2 linked regions of the Macaca fascicularis genome follow. The protein of the gene in region 2 binds, or shares a complex with, the protein of the main gene of each other region. Links are inferred from orthologs where the notes say so. Each region holds a gene or a part of one and is shown on either strand. Other genes may lie near its edges. The genes, in order: ADAT2 and ADAT3.

Evidence for each region.
Region 1: the proteins of ADAT3 (region 2) and ADAT2 are in contact, whole or in part, in a crystal structure (PDB 9HMM), measured with the Mus musculus proteins. The link is inferred for Macaca fascicularis from reciprocal best matches to the Homo sapiens genes ADAT3 and ADAT2. Residues at the interface, in NP_001094076.1 of Mus musculus: Val217, Ala218, Pro220, Leu221, His223, Ile229, Asp230, Ala233, Gln236, Gly237, Glu270, Ser272, Pro274, Val276, Val290, Met291, Met294, Ala295, His298, Ala299, Pro311, Asp312, Leu318, Phe319, Val321, Arg324, Asp326, Leu327, Asn328, Pro349; in NP_080024.3 of Mus musculus: Val62, Asn63, Lys66, Asn67, Ala68, Thr69, His71, Met74, Ile77, Leu81, His85, Pro91, Cys107, Ile108, Met109, Ala112, Ala113, Leu116, Met117, Arg130, Phe131, Val137, Leu138, Ile140, Asp144, Leu145, Pro146, Asn147, Thr148.

Annotation. Positions count from the first base shown.
Region 1 is NC_088378.1:47,651,121-47,659,946, reverse strand, and holds the start of ADAT2 (tRNA-specific adenosine deaminase 2), read left to right. Parts: upstream 1-3,294; 5' UTR 3,295-3,309; coding exon 3,310-3,405; intron 3,406-6,300; exon of another isoform or gene 6,301-6,364; intron 6,365-8,826. Other genes in the region: PEX3 (peroxisomal biogenesis factor 3), read right to left, coding at 2,856-2,928. UniProt on the Homo sapiens protein: Probably participates in deamination of adenosine-34 to inosine in many tRNAs.
Region 2 is NC_088393.1:2,525,370-2,533,981, forward strand, and holds the start of ADAT3 (probable inactive tRNA-specific adenosine deaminase-like protein 3), read left to right. Parts: upstream 1-2,801; 5' UTR 2,802-2,869; intron 2,870-8,612.

The sequences.
Region 1 (8,826 bases), on a different chromosome or scaffold from region 2:
GTGGCTCAGGCCTGTAATTCCAGCGCTTTAGGAGGCTGAGGCAGGACGACTGCTTGAAGCCTGGAGTTCAAGACCAGTCTGAGCAATGTAGTGAGACCCCCATCTCTACAAAGTAATTAAAAATTAGCCAAGCCTGATGGTGCACACCTGTAGTCCTAGCTACTTGGGAGGCTGAGGTGAGAGGATCACATGAGTGAGGAAAGTGTGAAGGTGTCAGGCAAATCTTCATAAGGAAGCTTTCTACTTGCCTTACATTGTAAAGCTAGCAAAGGAGAAATCAAGGCTGTAGTGAGCTATGATCACACCACTGTATTTTAGCTTGGGTAAAGAGCAAGACCCTGTCTGAAAAAAAAAAAAAAAAAACAAAAACAAAAACCGAACACACCCAAACACCCAAAACTGGTCAAATTATACAAACTGGTGTAAACCAATTAGTTACCCATCTAAAATTCAAGGAAACAGAAATTGTTACTTAAGAAGGCCTGCTACTGAAGGTTTTACTTACTTATTTCCCCCACGATTGAATGACCAAACTTCTCCAAGCATCCTGTTGATATACTGTCCAGCTTTCGAGCCTGTCAAAATGTGTCTCTTTTTCCATGAAATTCTTCCTGATTTTTCACAACTGTATATGCTACTTGCCAGTGTGATCTGTACAGCATTTTTTCACCTCTCTTGTTTTTCTGTATCTTAATTACATGTATACTTGCTTTTCCTTCCTATCAGACCATAAAGACCATGGAAGCACAGTGATATAATGTGGAAAGAGAATGTGCTTTGGGGTCCAACACACCTGGGTTTGAATTCCAGTTTCCCTTCACTAATTCTGAGACCTGAGGCAAGTTTCTTAAATTCTTAGGGCTCTTGTTGCCACATTTTTGAATGGGGATAATAATAACTGCCTTCTTGTCATTCTGCCTAAATAGGAAGAGCTTAGCACAATGCCCAGTGTAAAGTGGGCTCCCAATAAATAGTAGCTGTTACTATTAAAAATCTATAAATCTTGTATTTCCATACATATTACTTTCAGCACTACAGGTACTTGATAAATATTTCTTAAGTCAGATTAATTAAAATCTAACATACTGTAGAACTTTCTCCCTGAAGCAGAAAGAATACGAGGCTCAAACAAATGCCAACCATGGTCATCTACTCTTCCTTTCTTTTCAGACTGACTCCTTTATTGATATAAAACACTAGGATTATTTTCTCTTTCTATCCGTCTGAACTTTTCTTTTTTTGCATTCCTCTTATTCTGTAACTATAAGGCTCTTGTTAGATTTTTTTTTTTAATTATAAATTTCTTTTAAGTCTACTCTTTTGCTTCCCCTGTGATTATTTCTAATTTACCACAAGGTTGTTCCATAAGCTGAAGGAGTATTCCTTCTGAGATTGTTAGAGATAATTTTCCTTCCTTCGGTAAAGGCAAAAATACTTTATTTGTATTGCTTCAATCACACATCTATTTTTAGCTTTTATAAATAAAATGGACTCAGTAGTCTTAGGATAATTTAAATATACATTAGATACTAGAGAATGAAGATATCAGAAAATACCTTTTATATATAAAGGATTTCTCAAAGATGTTCAAAATTTACACGCTTATTATTGATCTGTGATAGATGTCAGAGGCATGCAAACACCATCCTTGGCTCAGCAACAAGAACTCTGTTTCAAACTTTGAAGCATCACCAAAATCTGAACTATTGATGCTAAGAGTATTGTTAATTGCAAATTGTTTGGGGAGAACAGAATACAATCTAATAAGTATTGTTAATTTCAAATTGTTTGGGGAGAACAGAATACAATCTAATATGTATTGTTAATTTCAAATTGTTTGGGGAGAACAGAATACAATCTAATACTAAGAGAAAAGCCAACCAAATTCTTTGGGAACCTCTGTTCTTTATTTTAAGTACTTCTGTAAACACAGCACATAATAAGTGATAAGAATATTTCTCAAAAACTCAAGTTACAACAAATTTCCTCTTTTAAAGTTCCTAGATGTTCTTTTCATATAATTCACAAAGCTTTTTATTCCCTCCTTCAAATCCCTGAATATTATCACATGAGCATTGTATGAGGGAAAAGGGTCTCAAGATTTTTATCTTATCTGTTTCTAAATCTCCTCTGGGCCCGTGCAACTCAGCTATGTCAGTTAGATTACAACGATCCCAACCTTGAAGATCCTGAGGAAGACTGCGCAACATCCCTCAAGCATTTTTCTTACTGCCACAGTTTGTATTCTAAAATGGCAGAAACAGAGCTAAAATATTGATTTGTTTTTCTTTATCTAATCCATCTCTTTCAGTCCTTCAGGACAACTGCGCTGTTTTCAAAAATTCAAATCGACTTTAACCACCACCTAGATTATTATTAAACTCCCTCCCCTAGATTATTATTAAACTCCTGAGAGTTTATTATTATTTATTTATTTATCATTTATTATTAAACCACCTCCCCTAGATTATTATTAAACTCCTGAGAAGGGTGAGAGCCATAGTGCCAAGAGTGCCAAGGAAAAATGAAGAATCTCACAGGAAAGCAGAATTTTTTTTAAAAAGTTCCTGTAACAGAAACTTAAACTGTACTGAATTCTCCAAAGGTCCGTGAGAAAAAAGGATAGGTGAGAAACAGTTAAGAGGCGGTGACAGGGCAAAGGGCACAGAGGCATTTCTCAACTGCAGAGATGGGAGAACCCTTGAGGTTGGCCACCTCCCTTTCCATCCCATGGTTGATCGAATCCCCTCTACAGATCCCAGACTAGGTTCGCCCCGGCCTGTTCTTATTTTAGAAAAAGTCACCTCTCCCACTCCCTTCTCCCAATGCCCCCTTTCAAGAACGTTGTCACCCACCTCCAAGGACCGTGCCCAGGAAGATGCATTTCTTTTTGTGGCGTTTCAGAAAATTCCATACGGACCTCAGCATCTTTAGGCCCTAGGGGTGTGCGCTGACTATGAGTGAGGGGCTGCTTCACCGGGAAACTGTTTCTTCGTCACCTGGCCCAGATGACCAAGCAAGAGCGCCGCCGTCCCGCTCTGCGCTCTCCCGAAATCACAAACGCGGCTTTCCGCAGACTGTCACCGGAGCGGCAAGGGGGCGTGGACTAGAGCAAAGCAGCTGCGCTTTCTGCGGCTGCCGCGGCGCAGCCGCCGCTGCTCACTGGTCCGACACGCCCAGGTCCGTTCAGAAATCGCTCCCGAGTGCCTTTCCATTCGACTCCCCCGGAAACGGGGGCCCGGGCCCGCCGCGTTCCGCTGCCCGCGCTCCTCCTCCGCGGCGGCCTTTGGCGCTGAGTGGTGGCCGGGTATGGAGGCGAAGGCGGCGCCCAAGTCAGCTGCAGGCGGCGCGTGCTCGGTGTCGGCAGAAGAGACCGAAAAGTGGATGGAGGAGGCAATGCACATGGTGAGGAGCCCGGGAGGTGAATGCTGCGGGGTGGGACCTTTCTCCAGCCCTCACCCCAACCACGGCATTTGAGCAAACGTTCTTTCTCGTCACCATAATTTTTATGGCAGTCAGATGTTCTGGGTGAACTACTGGCTTTACTGCCTCGAAACTTTCTGTAGCCCATTCTCACAGTGACTATGGGCGAAGGAAAGGGAGGAAATACAGAAATTATTTGTTTCATTGGGGTGGAGTATGCTGCAGACTTAGCATTCTGTCGCTGGCTGGCACGTGCTGCCTCCCTTTCCTTTCTGTGGTCACACTCTCCAATCTACAAAATCACATTATTTGAGGTTTTGGCCCCTGGACCATGTCCAGCAGAAGGAAGGAAACTGAGAACGTTTCTGGTAGAGAGCAGTATGGAAACAAATCCCTGTAGAATCGGTGTCTCGCATTCATTCATTCTTTCCTCTGCCCTTTTACGTCCTTCCCTCACTCCCTTCAGGTCTGCGGAGTAAAGGGGCCTTTCAACAGAATGGTGTGTGCTAGCGAGCTTCTTAACTGGGAAAATAGTTTGTTTGCAAACATGTATATTTACATTTTAATAACTGTACATACAGCCACGTGCCACATAATGACCTGTCTGTAAAGGTCGTTATCCTGGAGCATTAAATCTACTCACCTTAGCCCTATTGTCCCATCCAAGTACTAACCAGACCTGACCCTGCTCAGCGTCCGAGATTGGGGGACGTTCAGGGTGGTATGGAGGTAGACAACACTAGTCTCTATGTAGACTTCTGGGCTAAACCTTTTTGCCACCTTTTAGGTTGACCTTGGGCTAGCACAAGTAAATACATTTACATACGTTTACAAACAAACTGTTATCCCAGTTAAGAAGCTCGCTAGCACTTTTCAGCTCCGTTATAATCTATAGGACCACATATACAGCGGTGGTCCTATAGGATTATAACGGAGCTGAAAAGTTCCTATTGCCTAGTGACATGTAGCCCTCCTAACAAGTACTTTTTTCCCTTTAAGACCTTGAAGAAACATGTATATGCCAAAACCCAAGAAGCAGCTGCCTCCTTAGTCTTGTGTAGGAGGAGGTAAACTATGGAATCACATCCCTAGGTGTTTATAATACAATTGAGAGACAAAAATTTCAAAGCCAGAGAGGTCTAGAAATTCTTTGAAAACATCCACATGTTTAAAAAGATAAGATACAAAGTATCATGGCCAGATGCAGTGGCTTATGCCTATAATCCCAACACTTTGGAAGGCAGAAGCAAGAGGATCTCTTGATCTCAAAAGTTGAAGAACAGCCTGGGCAACATAGCGAGACCCTGTCACTACTAAACAAAAATTTAAAAATCAGTAGGGCATGGTGGCATGTGCCTGCAGTCCCAGCTACTCAGGAGGCTGAGGCAGGAGGATTGCTTCAGCCTTGGAGATTGAGGCTCTAGTGAGCCATGACTGTGCCACTATACTCCAACCTGGGAGACAGAACCAGACCCTGTCTCAAAAAAGAAAAAAAAGATACAAAGTAAAGGAAATCGCAGAGAAGGAAAATATTTGCAACATATATAAAAGGACAGGTTTAATAACCGTAACATAGAATTTATATAAAATCTAAGTACTTTCTGAGGTAAGAGGAAATATGTATACCCTAATACTGAAAAGGTCAAAGGATATGAATATATTTCTTTTTAAAATTTCCTTTTATTTTTAAAAGTGTTTTTTTGTTTAGACAGGGTCTCTCTGTGTTGCCCAAGCTGGTCTTGAACTCCTGGCCCCAGGCAATCGTCCCACTTCAGCCTCCCAAAGTGCTGGGATTACAGGTGTGGGTCACCACACCTCACCTGAACATGATATTTCTAAAAGAAGTGACGAGTAGCCAGCAAATGAATGAATACACAATTTCACTATTAATGAAATTCAAAGTAAAATGATACACAATTTTTCACCTGTTAAATTGGCAAACGTGAAAGCAATTTTAATGCTTGGTGATAATAAGGATGTGCATGTTTGAGGTGTTTGTTGGTTGGGAGGAACTGAATTTAGAACACCCTTTTATTAGGACAATTTGGCTAGGTAGATATAAAAGGCCTTAAAAGTGAGCTTATCCTTTGATCCATTAATGCCCCCCCTTTTTTTTTTCCCAAAGTGAAAATATTTTAATGTTTTATTTTTCTGATTATGTAAATAATTCATGGGCATAAAAAATTCAAACTATAAAAAAGGGTTAACCAATTATGTAAAAATTACCTGACAGTCCTATCATTAGAGATAATACTATTAGTGTTTGGGAGCATCCTTCCATATCTCTCTGTCCATATGTAAACAGCCATATGTACTTTTGCATAAATGGATTTACATGTTCTCTTTTTGATTCTCAGCACATTTTTTTGGTAGTCTTAATATATTAATCACTCCTCCCTACCTCATGGTATTTCTGTTGCTATGGAGTGACTATCAAAAATGGGACAAAGGATGTATGTGCTTTGAAATTATATAGATACTCCTGTATTGCCTTCTAGAACCATGATGCCCAATATCGTAGTCACTAACCATGTGTAGCTATTTAACTTTAAATTAATTAAGGTGAAATAAAATAAAATCCAGCTCCTCAGTTGTGTTAGCCACATTTCAAGTAGTCAGAAGCCACATATGACCACTGGCTACCATATTGGACAGTGCAGATCAAAGGATATTTCCATAACTACAAAAGGATTTGTTGGATAGCATATAAAGTTATCAACTTTACTACTTGTTAGGTTTCTTTCTGAGAGCTAAGCATAGCATCATCATAGGTTATTGTTTTAATCATCATAGCATGTTCAGCATAGCATTCTAAAGATAGGCTTGGAAAAAAAAAGTATGACTAAGTAATAGTGTTGCACTCTTGGTGTGTTCCAGATACTATGCTATGCACAGTGTTTTCATGTGGGCCATGTCATAAGCCCCACAGCAGCCCTATCAGGTGAGTATTATTATGGTCCTCATTTTCAGATGGGGATATTGAAGCTGAGAAAGTTCAGTAACTTTCCCAAAGTTAGAGAGCTGGTAAGGATGGGGCTGTGACTTGAGCCCTGTCGTCTGCTGTCAAATACTGGCCTAGCCTGCCTCTTAGTGTTAGGTAGCTCACTGCTTGCCAACATATCCTCTGCTCTCTTTCTTCCTTTTCAGTTTCCTTACCCTGAATACTGTATATCTACTGTGTAATTTAATTGGACATTTAGATTTTTTCTTTTGTGAATTGCTGAGGCATATACTTTGCCCAATTTTACTAATAGTTTGATTTAAAAAATCGCACTGTAGGAGCTCTTTGTATTTTACAGCTGTTTCTAGGAATAATTCACAAAGAAGCCATAGAAATATTTATATGGAGATGTTCTTATTTATAATAGTGAAGAATTTGAATCACTTAAATGTCAAATAATAGGAAACTAGTTAGTTGAATCAAATATGTTCATAAGGAGAAATACTGTACAACCTTTACAAAATCATGTCATGAAAAAGTATTACCCAATGTAGGGAAAGGTTAACAGTACATTTCTAAATGAAAAAGGCAGACTGCTGAACTGTATATATAGTGTAAATCTCTTTGACTTTTTAAAAACTATCAATATGTGTATGCAGGGCCTAGGGAAAAAAACAGAAAAAACTTCTGTTGCCTCAGAATAACAGGGATTATATTTTCGGGTATTGGGATTCCTAGTGTATTTTTTTTTTTTTTTTTTTTTTTTGATATATGAGGTTTTTTGTTTATTTTTTTAATCCCTAAGTTCACCTTGAACATATCTTACTTTACAATTAGGAAAAAAGAAAGATTGACTATATATATATGTATAGAAAAAAAATGTTGCAAGTTTTCTAGAAAAAAAGTCAGTTGTATTTTTTTGTAGTATGCATTTTTGGGGCAGTTGGTATTAATATAACATTATGCTAGGCTCTGAGGGAAATTCAAAAAGAAAACAAACACCGCAGATACCATTTCAACAAATGTGGTATGATTACCATTTCAACAAATGTGGTATGATTAAGTTTTTGCTATGTGTTAGACCTCATGCTGGGTGCCTAGGCTGCAGAGGTGAGCAAGAGAAGCTTCACAGTGCCTGGATCTAGTGCTTGCCTTCCAGGAACATACTGTTTAATTGATGAAATTAAGCCATGCACAGATGAAAAGGTTGGTAAGGAACATATCCGATGACCACAAGAGACAGATATAAAGTGCTATCACATAACAGCTGGCAAGGTCCTACAGCACGTCAGTTGAGATATATGGTAGAATTCCTTGTAAATTTTAAGGGACCAAAAGGATGTGGGCTGGTTGAAAGGAAAGGTTGATCCAAGCAAAGATACTGTCATGTACAAAGAAATCAAGAACTTTGTTTTGGGTTAGAAGGAGATCTAGCTATCTGTCTAGAACAGGGCTCCCTAACCTCGGGCTTAGGTTTAGGGGGATCTATGAACCCTGAAACTATATATAAAATGTTATGTGCATGTGCCTTTTTCAAGTGGGACAGTCCATAACTTTCATCAGAGTCTAAAAGGGGATTTCGGCTCTGAAAAGGTTAATAACCTAAATGAATAATGAAAAGTTAGGTTGGTTTGGCTGGCCAATGAGAGGATGGGTGGTAGTTGGGAGATCTTCAGTGCCATATTGAAGAATTTAAAGTTGATGGAGTGAAAACATCATCACTTTTTAAACCCCTGAACTTAAACTATATAACTGTTTCTGCTATTTACTCAGAGCGTAATCACTCAGAAGAGAGTAATTAGCAGAAACAGTTACATAGTTTAACCTTTTGGACATGATGATGTTCTACCTGAGAGTTGTTCTGGCTAACATGTTTGTTTCCCCTAATTTTTTGTCTTTATAGGAAATATTTCTTTGAGGGCTCATCAGAGTCTGTGCAAACAAAGTCTGTCTCCATTTCTCCCCCTTTTATCATGACATCACCGGAAAGCAGTTTATAGTAGTAATGTCTTTGGAGAAAGTAATAAACTATGAAGTCTCTTCCATCTAGGTGCTTTCATTATGTGTAACTGGGCAGGCCCTGACTAAAGAAAAAAAAGAGATTACATTCAAAGACAAAATAGAGACCAGTGTTTGGGCTGGGAAGAACAGAGATTTTATTCTTTAATTTTGAAGGTTGATCTTTTGTTACTTTACGCAAGACGTAGTCGCAATTTTTAAATATTATCTGACCTTGTTCTTTCCCTCTGAAAAAGGCAAGAAAGGTTAAACTCAAAGCTACCTGCACAAATTTCAGACCCATTTTGTCTGAGCTTTTTTGCATTTGTGAAGAAGTGATCAGACTCGACAGTAGAATTGGTGGGAGTGTTTGAAAGTATGATATGGGTACGGTGTGAAATTGATTTCCAGCTTAATTAAATCTATTGTGAACTTGTTAGTGAAGCAAATCTATGTGTTAATTG
Region 2 (8,612 bases):
CGCTGTAATCCCAGCATTTTGGGAGGCTGAGGCGGGTAGATCACCAGAGGTCAGGAGTTTGAGACCAGCCTGGCCAACATGGTGAAACCCCGTCTCTACCAAAGATACAAAAATTAGCCAGCTGCAGTGCAGTGGTTATCGTAGTGAAAGTGAGTGAAAATCGTAGCTCACTTCAGCCTTGACCTTCTGGACTCAAATGATCCTCCCACCTCAGCCTCCTGAGTAGCTGTCCCAGCGGTCCCAGCTACTCAGTGCCCCACCGGACCCAGCAATTCTGTTTTTTTCTTTTTCTTTTTTTTGCAGAGATGGTGGTATGTGTCTCAAACTCCTGGCCTCAGGCAAACCTCATGTGTCAGCCTCCCAAAGTGCTGGAATTACAGGCATGAGCCACCATGCCTGGCCTAGATTCATTTTTTTAGATGCAGAAAATCTGGGCTTTGGATTTAATGACTTACCAAATAAAGGCTGTCCTTTTTTTTTTTTTTTTTTTTTAAACAAATCAGCAAAACAGGGGCTCTTGGCTAGTTTGCATAAGGCATCCAGTGATGGAGAGATGTGTATTTAAGCTAAAAAAAGAAAAAGTGAAACTCACAGCAGTCTGAGTTTTTATTTAGAAAAGGAAAAAAGAAAGCAACTAACTGAGAGCGAAATAGTTTCCTGGAATGCTGTTTTTTGTTTTTTTTTTTTGAGATGGAATGTCACTCTATTGCCCAGGCTGGAGCGCGGTGGTGCGATCTCAGCTCACGGCAACTTTCATCTCCCGGGTTCGACTGATTCTCCTGCCTCAGCCTCCCTAGTAGCTGGGATTACAGGCCCCCGCTATGCCCGGCTAATTTTTGTATTTTTAGTAGAGCCAGGGATTCACCATGTTGGCCAGGCTGGTCTCAAACTCCTGATCTCAGGTGATCCACCCACCTTGGCCTCCCAAAGTGCTGGGAGTACAGGCGTGAGCCACCGCGCCCGGCCTTGAAATGCACTTTCTTGGCCGGGCGCGGTGGCTCACGCCTGTACTCCCAGCACTTTGGGAGACCGAGACGGGCGGATCACGAGGTCAGGAGATCGAGACCATCCTGGCTAACATGATGAAACCCTGTCTCTACTAAATATACAAAAAAAAAAAAAAAATTAGCTGGGCGTGGTGGCGGGCGCCTGTAGTCCCAGCTACTGGGGAGGTTGAGGCAGGAGAATGGCCTGAACCCGGGAGGCGGAGCTTGCAGTGAGCCGAGATGGCGCCACTGCACTCCAGCCTGGGTGACAGAGCAAGACTCCATCTCAAAAAAAAAAAAAAAAAGAAATGCACTTTCTTTGAAACACCATGTCCTCCCCTTTTTCACCATAAACTCCCTCACTCTCTGCGAGTTTACCTAACTGTATGCGTCTATCTAATTATGTGATTACCTAAAAGTTCCAGGAGCAGGCTGGGTATGGTGGCTCGGGCCTGGAATTCCAGCACTTTGGGAGGCCAAGGCGGGCGGATCACCTGAGGTTAGGAATTCGAGACCAACCTGACCAACATGGAGAAACCCTGTCTCTACTAAAAACACAAAATTAGCCGGGCGTGGTGGTGCGTGCCTGTAATTCCAGCTACTCGGGAGGCTGAGGCAGGAGAATCACTTGAACCTGGGAGGCGGAGCTTGCAGTGAGCCGAGATCACACCACTGCACTTCAGCCTGGGCAACAAGAGCAAGACTATGTCTCAAAAAAAAAAAGAAAAAGAAAGTTCCAGGAGCCAATCTGGACACAGACCAAGAACGGAGACCCACCTGCAAAATCCCAGAGATTTCCTCAACGTGGTCTGCAACCTGGCCGTTATTAGGATGAGGCCAGCATGTGCTTTTAAGCCACACAGAGCTTATATTCAGCACCTCCCCTGCACACCCACCATTCCAAGTTCCTCTTTTTTAGCCCCTCACCCCAGCCTCAAGTTTGAAGGGGTTTCTGGAGGCCTAAGCCAGCTGCTTCCCCACTGCGAACTCTAAAAATGAAGTCGCCTTCGTTTCACTGCACTTTTTCCTCCTTATTGGTTTGGCAAGACTTGGGTATCCGAGCGTGAGCTGGTTACACCCAGGCACTGTCGAGTTGTTTGGGGAGGGGATGACAAATTCCCTCCCGTTGAGAACCACTTGGTTAAACCTGTCCAACTGGAAGGAGTAACAAATTGGTCATAAAATGTGCATGTTTTGGTGAAACCCCTTCTCTACTAAAAATACAAAAACTAGCCACAAATCACTTGAACCCGGGAGGTAGAGGTTGCAGTGAACCTAGAACTGCATTCCAGCCTGGGTGACAGAGCGAGACTCCGTCTCAAAAAAAAAAAAAAAAAAAAAAAAAGTGTGCTTGTTTGGCCCAGGAGATGCAAGAGGTCTTCTTTACCTACAGTACTGATGAGAAAACTCAAACCTGAGCACCGCCCAGGTCAGAGTGCAGTAACAGGCAGAACTGGAACCTGGCCCCATCCCAGTCTCAGGGGACTGGTGTCAATGTCCCCCCCCCCTGCCTCGTCCTCCCCACTCTGCTAACTTTCCAAAGACCCCGCAGGTTCTGAGTTTTCCCTGGCCGCTTCATGGGATTCCAACCCGTAAACTCAGCGCTCGCCCAGCGCAGCGGCCCCGCCTCGCCCCCACCGACGGTCATGTGAGCGCAGTGCCGGCGGGGGCGGGGCGAGGCGGCGGCGCGGCGAGGTGGCGCGCAGTCCCTGCTGGGAATTGTAGTCCTTGCCCCGCCTTTGCCTCGCGCCGACCCCGCCCCTGGAACTACGCTCCCGTCGTGCTCCGCGGCGCCAGGCGGAGACGAGGCAAGGCGGGGCGGGGCGCGCCGGGCCGGTTGCTAAGACTTGGCGAAGCGCTGCGCTCGCGCCCGGATCCCTCAGGTAAGCGCGTGGCGCCGAGGTCTCGGGTTCTCCAGGCTCAGGCTTCCCTAGAAGGGAAGTAGGGGCGAACATGGGGGGTCTCGGCGGTGAAGGGCGCCGGCCGTTCGTGGGGAGAAAACGGGGGGCCCGCGCCAACCTCGGGCGCTTCTGGGGCGGGCCGGTGGGCGCCGTGGGGAGGTAGCGCGAATGCGCGTGCGCTCGGCGCTGGCCTTGGGGGGAGCCTCAGGAGCGCGCTCCCCCGGGCCCAGCGCTTTTATACGCGTGCGCGCCCCTATGGCCCGGTCGGGAGACCCCGTACGCTCCAGCTGCTTCCGGTGGCCCTTTCCCAGGTCAAGTCCGCCAGTCCCCTGCCCCCGAACCGCGCACCCGCAGGTTTCCGGCGCTTTCGCGTCCTTCCTCCCCAGCTCTGGTTTGCCTTTACGTGAAGATTCCCCTAGTCCTTTGTACATCCCCAGAATTGACCATCGTTCCTCGTCGTTACCTAGAGTGCGAGTTTTTCGGGTTTTTCCATCACAGGCCCCCACTTATCTCCCACACCCTACCCCGAGGGCCGAGGTTCCCCGCTGTCTTGCAGAGAAGGCCTCCTTGTAGGATGGCCAGAAACACAGGATCGACTCCTTGGAAACTAGGACGGCTGGGCGCAGTGCCTCACCCTGTGACCCTAGCACTTTGGGAGGCCAAGGCGGGTGGATCACCTGAGGTCTGGAGTTCGCGACCAGCCTGATCAACAGGGTGAAACTCCATCTCTGCCAAAAATACAAAAATTAGCCGGGCATGGTGGCGTACGCCTGTAAAACCAGCTACTCAGGAGGCCGAGGCAGGAGAATCACTTGAACATGGGAGGTGGAGGTTGCAGTGAGCCAAGATGACACTATTGTACTCCAGCCTGAGCAACCTAGCAAGACTCTCCAAAAAAAAAATTTTTTTTTTTTAATTAGCCAGGCATGGTGACACGTGTCTGTGGTCTCAGCTACTCAGGAGGCTGAGGCAGGAGGATTGCTTGAGCCCAGGAGGTTGAGGCTGCAGTGAACTATGATGGCACTACTGCATTCCAGCCTGGGCAACAGAGTGAGACCCTGTCTCAAAATAATTAGGTATATATGTATAGCGCCGGGCCTGGTGGCTAACGCCTATAATCCCAGCACTTTGGGAGGCCGAGGCGGGTGGATCACGAGGTCAGGAGATCAAAACCATCCTGGCCAACACGTTGAAACCGCATCTCTACTAAAAATAAAAAGCTGGGCGTGGTGGTGGGCTCTTGTGGTCCTGGCTACTCCCAAGGGAGGCTGAGGCAGCAGAATGGTGTGAACTCAGGAGGCGGAGCTTGCAGTGAGCTGGAATCGCACCACTGCACTCCAGCCTGGGCGACAGAGTGAGAGTCCTTCTCAAAAAAAAAAAAAAAAAAAAAGCAACAAAATATATATGTGTAAAAAAAACAAGCCCCAGGCTGGGCATGGTGGTTCACGCCTGTAATCCCAGCACTTTGGGAGGCCTAGGCAGGTAGATCACAAGGTCAGGAGTGCGAGACCAGCCTGGCCAATATGGTAAAATCCCATCTCTACTAAAAATATAAAGAATTAGCTGGGTAGGCCGGGCGCGGTGGCTCAAGCCTGTAATCCCAGCACTTTGGGAGGCCGAGACGGGCGGATCACGAGGTCAGGAGATCGAGACCATCCTGGCTAACACGGTGAAACCCCGTCTCTACTAAAAAAAAAATACAAAAAACTAGCCGGGCGAGGTGGCGGGCGCCTGTAGTCCCAGCTACTCGGGAGGCTGAGGCAGGAGAATGGCGTAAACCCAGGAGGCGGAGCTTGCAATGAGCTGAGATCCGGCCACTGCACTCCAGCCTGGGTGACAGAGCGAGACTCCGTCTCAAAAAAAAAAAAAAAAAAAAAAGAATTAGCTGGGCGTAGTGGTGCACACCTGTTGTCCCAGCTGCTTGGGAGGCTGAGGCAGGAGAATTGCTTGAACCAGGGAGGCAGAGGTTGCAGTGAGCCAAGATCACGCCACTGCCCTCCAGCCTGGGGGACAGTGAGACTCTGTCTCAAAAAAAAAAAAAGCCCCCACGCAGACTATTGGTGTGCCCTGGCACTGAGCATTAGCTGTCCCTCTGTTCCGTGTTCTCTCCCCTACTTCCCCAGCCTTCCAGGCTGGGCTGTGGGTCACTGCCTCCGAGGGGCCCTCCTGGATGCTACTGGAGATGGTCAGGCCCCTCCATCCCCCCACTTTCTCTTATGCGCCTGACAGCCCTGCCTTAAAAAAAAAAAAGGCAGAGCAGGAATTCCCATTTCACAGGGGTGGAAGCCGAGGCTTGGAGGAATCAGGACTGCTGCCTGAGCCCTCGCAGCCAGGAGGTGGTGACCTGCCCTCCTGAGGGGTCCCAGTGGTCGACTGCCTTCTGGGCGTGTGTGGTAGGGGGAGGATCAGGTGGCCCCCCCCCCAGCTGTTGGGCGGCAGTCGCTGTACTGCCTGCCGGAGTGAGTCATCCCCCCTGGACCACAGCGGGTGGGTAGGAGCTGCTCTGGCAGTTAAAGCCGCCCTGGCCTGGGACAGTCCATCAGCCTGAACAGTGCCTGTTCTGAGATTTTGACCTGCCCTCCATGGGCGCAGGGGGCCCAGCCTGCAGTGTCCCAGGATTTTGACCTGCCCTCCAAGGGCGTGGCGGGCCCAGCCCGCAGTGTTCCAGCACTCCTCCCTGGGTCGTTTGTTTTTCATCAGACAGAGGTTGTACTCTTGGAGGGACAAGCGAGGCTGTGTTTGTCTTTGACCCTGGAGACAGTGGAGTGTTTGTGGCCCAGCCGGGCCTCGCGGTCCTGGTCGCGCGTGGTATGCGTTTTGGGAGGGCCCAGCGAGTCAACTGCTATGGGCCCCACCTGGCACAGGGCCTTGGGCAGCGGCAGCACCTAGCTCTACCTCTGCACTTCCGGCTCCCGGCTCCCACTGCGCTTCCGGTTCCGTGCTTCGTTGAACGCTTGAGCTTCAGGCAGCGCTGGGGCCACTACAGTGTGCCCTCCAAGTCCACTGGCCCGGAGTTCCACTGGCTGCTTGTCCCCCCACTGTGGGGCGCCTCGGCGGCTGAGGTGTGAACCGGGCAATGCATCTCGAGGAGTAGCGCCCACAGCTGCGCAGCTGCGAAATTATCCAGAGACACATCCCTGCCTGCGGCAGGAGCCGTCCACACCAGCAGGGATGTGTAGTCCGGCGGGCGGTGGTGGTCAGGATCGTCCAGAGTCGTTTTAAGATCATCTGCGGCTTAGTCCCAGCACCACCTGAGGCAGTACTGTCTGCTAGAAGTACTGTGAGCATACAGGTGTAAGGTTTCTAGGATTTTGTTATTATTTATTGATCTGAAAAAAGGAACGGGGTGTCTGCATGTTACCCAGGTTGGTCTCAAACTCCTGTGCTTAAGTGATCCTCTCGCCTTGGCCTCCTGAGTAGCTGGGACTACGTGTGCACACCACCATGCCCAACTAATTTATACTTTTAAAAAATGTGGGCCGGGCAGGGTGGCTCACGTCTGTAATCCCAGCACTTTGGGAGGCCGAGGCGGGTGGATTACCTGAGGTCAGGAGTTGGAGACCAGCCCGACCAACATGGTAGAACCCCGCCTCTACTAAAAATACAAAAAATTAGCTGGTGCAGTGGCGCATGCCTGTATTCCTAGCTGCTGGGGGGCTGAGGCAGGAGGATCACTTGAACCTGGGAAGTGGTGGCTGCAGTGAGCTGAGATCATGCCACTGCACTCCAGCCTGGGCAACACAGTGAGACTCCGTCTCAAAAAAATATGTGGGCTGGGGCCGGGCGCGGTGGCTCAAGCCTGTAATCCCAGCACTTTGGGAGGCCGAGATGGGTGGATCACGAGGTCAGGAGATCGAGACCATCCTGGCTAACATGGTGAAACCCCGTCTCTACTAAAAAATACAAAAAACTAGCCGGGCGATGTGGCGGACGCCTGTAGTCCCAGCTACTCCGGAGGCTGAGGCAGGAGAATGGCGTGAACCCGGGAGGTGGAGCTTGCAGTGAGCTGAGATCCGGCCACTGCACTCCAGCCTGGGCAACAGAGCGAGACTCCATCTCAAAAAAAAAAAAAAAAATATGTGGGCTGGGCGTGGTGGCTCATGCCTGGAATCCAGCCTCAGGCCTGCGGTGCGAGTCTGTGGGGGGAGATGCAGGTCGGGGAGGGCTGACCAGCTGAGACGGTGGTTTGGGGGTGTTCAGGTGGGGTGGATGCCAGAGATGTGGGAGCCAGAAGCGCTGTCCCCCAGGGCCCTGTGAGCAGTCTCTGCAGGCTGGCTGTCCCCACGCCTGCCTCTCTGCTGTGCTCTCTGCCCGCCTAGGGCAGGCTCCCCTCTCATGGGGTGATCCCGAGAACCGGGAGCCCCGCCAGCCTTTCCTCTCCAGTGGAGTGACCCTACCGCCTCCTGTCCTCACCTGTGCCAGCAGCAGGGATGGTAACGGTGCTGGTGATGTCAGGCCGGGAGGTTCTTTCTCACCCGAGAGCCACCTTGGCATGCTGCCCGGCAGTCAGGGATGTTAGCAGGAGCCCCAGGGGTGATCCAAGCTCTTCCCGCAGCCCCACTCCGGCCAGGGCCGCCTCTGTGACTGAGTAGACAGGGACACCCCAGCGGCTGCCTGCTCCACCTGACGGCCAGGGCCTCCTCTGTGACTGAGTAGACAGGGACACCCCGGCGGCTGCCTGCTCCACCTGACGGCCAGGGCCCACCATGGCTGCAGGAATGTGGTCAAGGGATGGGAAGCCGGGCCCTTATGTTTCGTGGCCTGTCCTCTGAGGTCTTTCTTTTCCTAGCTCTTGGCCAACTAGGGGGCTAGTGTTTACAGAAACCACCCGGAGGTGGGTGTTCCGTGTCAGTGCCAGGCTGTGTGCCGTTCTGGGAGGTGGCCCCGTGTCCCCCACACTTGGCATGCTTGCTTTCTGTCACTGCATAGCAGACTCCGTGCATCTGTGGGCTTAATACAACACCCGCCGGCTCCTGGTTCTGTGGGTCAGGGCCTGAATGTGACGTGGCTCGGTCCTCTGTGCGGGGTCTTACCGGGCTGGAACCCAGATGTTGGCCAGGGCTGTGTGGTCATCTGGAGGCTCAACGGGGGTGGCATCTGCTTGCGGCCGGGGGACCAATGGTCCTGCTCCGTTCCTGGCCACATGGCCCTTCTGTCTGGAAGCCAGGCACTGCCGGTCCACGGCTTGTGCTTCCAGGCTCTGGCTTCTGGAGATGCAGAGATCACATCAGTGGTTGCCTGGATTGCTGTGTGTGTTGTGGGGTGGTGAGACAAGTTTTCTCTTGGGGGTGATGGAATGTTCTGGAATTTTACAGTGGTGATGGTTGCACAACTCTAAGCATACTAAGAGCCACTAAATAGGACACTTGATTGTTTCTGGTATTGGTTTTTGAGTTTTTTGTTTTTTTTTTTTTTTGAGATGGAGTCTCGCTCTGTCGCCCAGGTTGCAGTGCGGTGGCCGGATCTCAGCTCACTGCAAACTCCACCTCCCGGGTTCACGCCATTCTCCTGCCTCAGCCTCCCGAGTAGCTGGGACTACAGGCGCCCGCCACCTCGCCCGGCTACTTTTTTGTATTTTTTAGTAGAGACGGGGTTTCACCGTGTTAGCTAGGATGGTCTCGATCTCCTGACCTTGTGATCCACCCGTCTCGGCCTCCCAAAGTGCTGGGATTACAGGCTTGAGCCACCGCGCCCAGCCGAGGTTTTTTTTTTTGAGAGAGAGTCT